Linked DNA regions of Cricetulus griseus. The protein of the gene in region 1 interacts with the protein of each later gene in a pairwise test. Links are inferred from orthologs where the notes say so. Each region holds a gene or a part of one and is shown in the gene's direction. Other genes may lie near its edges.

Evidence for each region.
Region 2: the proteins of Rbpms (region 1) and CUNH1orf94 interact in binary tests that used the Homo sapiens proteins (3 or more experiments, as listed by UniProt). The two-hybrid records come from large-scale screens. The link is inferred for Cricetulus griseus from reciprocal best matches to the Homo sapiens genes RBPMS and C1orf94.

The regions. Positions count from the first base shown.
Region 1 is NW_023276807.1:50,950,695-50,954,346, forward strand, and holds part of Rbpms (RNA-binding protein with multiple splicing), read left to right. Parts: intron 1-866; coding exon 867-944; intron 945-3,036; coding exon 3,037-3,075; intron 3,076-3,652.
Region 2 is NC_048595.1:25,048,419-25,052,070, forward strand, and holds part of CUNH1orf94 (uncharacterized protein C1orf94 homolog), read left to right. Parts: intron 1-2,725; coding exon 2,726-3,414; intron 3,415-3,652.

The DNA.
Region 1 (3,652 bases):
ATCTACCATATATTCTTCCTCTCTGTCATTTATATATGGTTAATGATTGAACACAGTGTCTAATGAGGAGCGCAGTCATGTTGTATTGGTCTGAGGAGAGGGAAAGAACTGAAATGCTTATTCCACATCAGGTTCCTGAGTCAGGAGATTTTAAATGTATGCCCTATGGTGTGACCCTAGGTTCTTTGTGTAGTCTGGCCCACCCTGCCCCCAGAATGTACTGTGGGGCCCTGTGCTTTCCTGCCCCCACTTCACCCTCATTTCTTCCTGGGAAAATCCTACCAATTCTTTTAGGTTCTAGTTCCGATGGTAACTTGCTTCCTCTGGTTTTCAGCCAGAAGCATCATGTCAGTGTTGTATATTTTAGGAGACATCAGACACATTGTTGTATTCAGTGTCTCCCATCGAGTGTGTTTACACACATATCCTAATGACTTGTCATTGGCACCTAATGGGTACCTTGAAGGTTTATGTGTTGGTTGTGACAAAGAACACAGAAGAAATGGCAGTCAGAGAAGCAGAGCAATGTCTGCTGGCTCCTGTGTAGGTGCTGCATATAATCTCCGAACTTTAATGCTTATTAAAATAATGGCAGTCAACACCATTAAGGGACATAGTGACAAGAGACCAAAGCAAGAGAAACGAAAGATTTACTTTTTTCTTTTTAAGTCTGTCATATTGCTTTGGTTAGAGAAGAAAACTTACTGTCCTCATGACACAGTTTTAAACTAATATTAAAATTATATGGGGCAGTTAGTTCATCGTGTCTTAGAAAGAACATTGTTAGAGGAGTCATGGATCTGTTGAAGATGAAGATTGACTTCTGGGTTTTCCACACCCTGCTCACCTGTCACATTGTTTTCTAGGTCCGGACCCTATTTGTCAGTGGTCTGCCCCTGGACATCAAACCCCGGGAGCTCTACCTGCTCTTCAGACCATTCAAGGTACTTTACAAATGTTTCCCTGGGGCCTTAAGGGGGGGCGGGAGGGATATGTTGGAGCCAGTGCCTGCAACAATCTTTTTTTTTTTGTTTTTAGATGTTAATAAGCAAAACAAAGTTAACATCAGAGTTCTGACATCTCACTGGGATGCTAGTCTGACATTGTCCTTAGGTCCCAGCATTCTCTATTCCATGTAGATCAATTTTAGTAACCTTCAGCTAGAGGCACACCCCTAAGTGCAGAGCATAAGAGTTTCAGAGTGGGTTAGGAATATACTAGCCGTCTGGTAGAACACTTACCTAATGTGTATAAGGCCATGGATTTGATTTTTTTTTTTTTCAAGCATCACACCCTCCTTCAAAATGGTATAAATAAGTTACTACATATTTATAGTTGAAATGCAGCAATATGATCTGAGCCCTGTTGGTAGCTTTATTGACTGGAGTAGCGCTTTGGACACTTCTGTATGGACTTGAATAAGCATTCTTTGGGATTAAGAACCCTGTGCTTCTTTTACACCAAACACATAAATGTTCAACAAGACAAAATAGTATATGCTAACTTTGTATGAACTGAAGGGAAATTTCTAGTGGAGTTAGCCATTTTTCCTATGGAAATTCGATCACTTAAGAGATACTAAATATTGCTGGATTGAAATTTTTTGTTTTGTTTTGTTTTCGAGACAGGTTTTCTCTGTGGCTTTGGAGGCTTTCCTGGAACTAAGTCTTGTAGACCAGGCTGGTCTCGAACTCACAGAGATCTGCTGCCTCTGCCTCCTGAGTGCTGGGATTAAAGGCTTGTGCCACTAATACCCGGTCTTGGATTGAAACTTTTAACAGTTGAGCTTAACCTTAAAGTTGGCTAAAACTGACATAACTATACTGTCAAGAAGAAACGTTGAACATTGGCCTTTGGAAACTTTAATGAGACCTGAAGGGCATCATGGGTTTATGACCTGTGGGTTAAGGGAGGTTTTGTTAGTAGTAGGAAGATTACTGAACCCTGGTAGAGACAGGGGGTTTCTGATCCAAGACTAACCTGCTTGAAGACAATTGAGCTACTGGATTCAGCTTGGTAGGGATGTGGCAATGCAACAAACCCAAGGGTTGGATAGGAGAAAGGGTCAGGAAACAGCTAGGTATGATCCCCAAAGATGTGGGTATAGTTGATGTGCTGGGAAGGCACGTGTGAGTGTGGAAAGATGGTCATTCCCATAATGCACCAGTAGCAGTGACAGCAGAGGGAACCCTTTGATTCCTGTCTGTGACCTCAACATGGTATGACCCAGCTAGTGCTGTTTCACCCGAGTGAAATAGCATTTGTCCTTGGTGTCTGAGACCTTCAAGGTTTTAAATCTCATTGATTTCTAAGAGAAAGAGCCCCTTGTAGAGAGTAGGAATAGGCAGTGCTGAAGGCCTTGGGTGGAAATGTTTACATTAACAGTTTTCTACTGGGAATTGGTGAGGATGAACCAGTCCCTGCAACCTGGACAGAAATTCCAATGCTGAAGTCAGGACCTTGGGACATCCCTAGCAACCCTCCTTTAATTTTAGCCCAGGGCAGCTGGCCCTGGTTGCTGATCTGTCTCTATACAGATGTGTTTAGCGGTTGCTCTTGTCAATTGGTGTATTTCCTCCCCTTTGTGTCACCTGTCAGTGCATGCTACTAGCTATTGATCTTTCCAGAAATCAGCTAGAGAAAGACAGGAATGCCTTCAACTCCTGCACATGAGCTGGAACAGAAACACAGGGGAGTGTTTCATGTTCTTATCAGATTCCACCATGGAAATGGCCTCGTTGAGTAAGCAAGCAGAGATCAGCAGAATGCTGCATGTCTCCTGCTCAGCCCTTCCTGGTAGTTTTCATATGGCTATCTTGTTTTATTTTGCAATATTGGGGGCTAAATCCAAGGCTTTTGTGTATGCTGGACCACCCTGTGTGTCTTATGTCTGTGTCTATAATGTGTCCACAGCCAACTTTGGAGGCATTGAGAAGTGCAACATAGTTGATAGTCCTTTTCTTAAGTGACTCACTTGAGGAAGATGGATTTATAATTCTCCCTTCCTTCTTTCTAAACTTGCTCTTTATATTTCAGGGCTATGAAGGTTCTCTTATAAAGCTCACATCTAAACAGGTAAGAATTTAGAACTCCTAAAAATGACTGCCTTTTGCTAATGAAGCCTGATAAATATTCTTTTGTTTCAGCTAGGATTTTGACCTATGTGTTATCAAAATTGAAGGTGAAATTGATTGGGATTAGTATAGGAAAATGTGTGTAATTCCACAGTCTTCAAATAGGAAGTTTCTGAGGTTCAGAAGGTACAAACAGTGCCTCCAAGGTCTCTAGAGTTATATTGAAACTAATTTGTTTCTTCAATAAACAAATTGTATTATCCAGATTCTTAGTCTTAATTTTTTGAGGTATGTTATTTCCTTTATGAATACATAGATGTTTTGCCTGCCCCTATGCTGTGTCTCTTCATCCAATACCCATAATGGCCAGAAGAAGCCCTCAGGCCCCTGTAACTTTAATTACATACAGTTGTGAGCCATGATGTTGGTGCTGGGAATCAAAGCTAGGTCTTCAGGAAGAACAGTCAGCTGAGCCATCTCTCCAGCTCTACTCAAAATTATTGAGTAGTTCTCTTGATGGTGTATTTATAGACATATGATAAGGAATCACAAAATCTCAGGTGTAGAGTGAGATGTAC
Region 2 (3,652 bases), on another chromosome or scaffold:
CCTCCCAGTATCTTCACAGTCTTTAACCCTGAGAAGAGGGTGTGGCCTGACAGATTCGAGAAAACAAGGTGCTAAGGGGCAGCATAGGAATTCCCATTCAGCACCCATGGGTCTTTTTCCATCACCTTTTTTCAGGCTGGGAATGACAAGAGTGTCAGTTGGGTGTCAAGTAGGGATTATGCCTGGGATGTTTCGATACAGGGACATCAAGGTCTTTTAGAAGGTGTTTTTGTGGAGGACTTAGGGGATGGCTCAGTCTTGAAGTGTGAGGGCCAAAATTCAGTTTCCAGAACCCACATAAAAATGGCAGGTGTAGTGAAATGTACTTGCAATCCCATCCCTAAGGAGCCAGAGACTGGAGGATTGCTGGAGTTTACTGGTCAACTGGTGGATGAACTCTAGGCCAGTAAGAGAGCCTGTGAATAATGTCCCTGAGGAAGATGATTGAAGTTGACCTCTGGCTTCAACACATACAAGAGCACACATAAATCCCTCCCCCCACGTGCATATACACGTACACACATCTGCACACTCACAGTTCATACATATTCACAGGCACTCACAGGCACAAATGCACAGAGAGGGAAAGAAGCCGCTTTCCTGCCACTTGACACTTTTGAGGATTCAGTGGTGACAAGTGTGTGTGTGTGTGTGTGTGTGTGTGTGTGTGTGTGTGTGTATGTGTGTGTGTGTGTAACCCAGAAACCAAATATAGACACCAGTAGACTGGCTATCTCAATGGCCCCATGTGTCTGCTTCTAGCTTTCCCCATGACTGACATGTATAGCCTATGAAGGAGCTGGTCGGTTGTGCCCTCTCCCTCGCTCTCTTCCTCCCTCAACTGGATTAGTTTTAAGGGAAACCCCAGGCACAATTGATCTATACATATTTAGCATGTAGTTCCGAGAGATAACGGCTGCTTTTGGTTGTTGTTTAAGTGTGACCACAATGACAGGTTCACAGTGTTAAAAAAGCAAGCATCCTTGGGGTGAGGCTAATTGACAAAAGCTATTGGCACACAGCTGGTATTGCCAGGCAGTGGATATGGGTAGGGGAAGCAAAAACTGGTCCTTCAAGTGGCTGGGCCCTAAGACTTGAGACTTACCTGATTCCTTTTAAGGAGGAGGAACCGAAACTTGGGGCACCCTCTTTTACTCTGATTGTTCCTGGGGCACAGCGGTGAGAGCAGGGCCTATTTTTAGCCCTAAGTCTAGACATGGAAAGGCAGCAAAAGGAAGGGAATATTCGAGAGGGCCAGGGAGAGAGAAGAGTATGAAGGAAAGAGAGATTGAGAGTAGGAAGTGAGCCTTCCCCTGTGGACTGTCAAGGGCAGGCTCTGCTCTCCTGGTTCTGAGTGAACTGTGAGCCTGCCTGTTTCTGTGCAGTCCTGTGTGCATCAAGGTGTGTGTGTGTGTGTGTGTGTGTGTGTGTGTGTCCGCCCTCATAAGCAAACAGCACTACAGGAAGGCAGGGACATCCCATGAACACTGTTTGGGGTATTTCTTGTGCCTTCTTAGTGGAGAGTGGATTGTCAGACAGACCACGCTTTGGTTTGCCCACAGTGAAGCCGCAGCAGCTGAGCCCCACTCGTGTATCCCTTTTATTTTTTCCCCTTCTGCCTCTTAACTGTCTTTCTCTTTATGTGCCTTAAGTGGCTGCTGAATCAAGTTTCCAGAACATTCCAGGCATAGGTAATTCTATCTATCCTTCCCAGGAACCTTCATGTATGCATAGCAGGTACTTCTAAGCTGGAGGACCCTGGCTCCCCTGGGAATGTAGTGGAGGAAGGTGCCCCCTCACCAAATTTGCTGGGGGGTAGTTGAGAGGGCAGGGTTACCAACTTCTCCCTCACTTGAGGAGAACCAGTAATCAGGAGCTGGGAATTCATTAGCTCATCAAGCACCATCGGGATGTTGGATCACTAATGGAGATCAGGGACAGGGGGACAGGGGAACATAGGGACAGGGAGAGCTGTATGAACTGGTTCAGGTTCCAGCCAAGTGTTGTTGTCATCCACAATAATGTTCCAATTCAGATGCCATGACCCCATCAGAGGCCATGCCAGCAAGAGTAGATACAGATGTCCAGATGGGCACACTGTGGAATCCAAGGTTCAAGGTCAGGTCAGACTATGAGCCTGACCTTATGTGGACATAAGCACTGACAGGTGTGTGACCCTGTGACAGAGTGTCTGCACTGTTCAAACACCCCTCTGTGATATTCCTGGGAATCACACAGGATATTGGAGTATCTGCGATGCTGAACAACTTGCTCAGGGTCACACAGATTGAAAGTTACAGAGACAGCTGTGAGTCTTAACTGTGCAGTCCGCCAGCCTGCAATAGGGGACTTACTGTATTGTATTCCTGGAAACTTCTTCAGGCTCTAGATCTTGTTCTTTGAACTGCTTAGTCACAGACTTTGCTGCTGGGCAAATTTCCCCAGTGAACCATCTCTCTACTGTTTGTTGCCTTGGGGACTGAGGAGGAAGGGGCAGACATCTTCAGCACTATAGCCTAGCGGGTGATATTGGCTTTGTGTCCACCTGGTCCATTTTTCCCTCTTGAGAAAGCAACAGGTTTTTCTCATTAGGAAAGAATGGTTTTCAACAGGTTGTGGCCCCACCTTCTTTCCCCGAGGCCTGTATCCCACAGCCTGCATCCTGCTGGCAGAGCTACTGGTGGATGAGAGCACTAACTCCGCCATGTCTTTGAACCTTTTGCAGAGCTCTGGAGCTGAGCGGGGGCAAGGATGAGATCTCCCTGCTGGTGGAGCAGGAGTTCTTAAGTCTCACCAAAGAACATCTCATCTTGGTCCAAGAGAGCTCTGGGGAGCTGGCAACACCTATTGTCACTCCCCAGGGGACCCGGGAGCTGGCTCCCTGCTTTCTTGTGCCTCCTCTGGGGGCAGACAGCACTGAATACCCAGGATCCTCTGTAACAGCTGGTGACAAGCTTCGGGAGCAGAAGCTGTCCGTGCCCATCATCAGTAGCAGGCAGGACTGTGATTCTGCCATGTCTACAGTCACAGGCATCCTTCGTGCTGCCAAGGTCAAGAGTGTCAAGGGAACAAAGGACAAGAGCCATAGCCTGAGTGCCTCTAATTCAGAGATCAGCAAGCTCCTGGCCCAGTTCCCACTGAAGTCTACCGAAATGTCCAAGGCCCCTGACAACAAGATGGTGCTGGAAGAGACCAAGGTCATTAAAGATTTCCTGCAGAATAGCATGTTCAATGGCTCTGGACCCCGGGAGCCCATGGGGCTGGGCCCATTCCTGCTGCTGCCACCCCCACCTCCTCCTGCACCCCCTGACAAGCTCCCTGAGTTCTCTCCTCCAAAAAGGCAGCTTCCAGTGTTTGCCAAGATCTGCTCCAAGAATGAGGCTGACTCCACTCTTGATGGCCACCACTGGATTGGTGAGTGGGCCTGGGAGCAGGGAGGTGAGGGGGTTACCAGGGAGGAGGGCCTTGATCAGAAAATATGATCAACGTTATAGTGCATCTTGGTGCAAAGCAAAACAACGCAGAGTCTCTCTCTGTCTCTGTCTCTGTCTCTCTCTCTCTCTCTCTCTCTCTCTCCTCTCCCCGTGTGTGTGTGTGTGTGTGTGTGTGTGTGTGTGTGTGTGTGTGTGTGTATGTATGCCTGGAGGCAGAG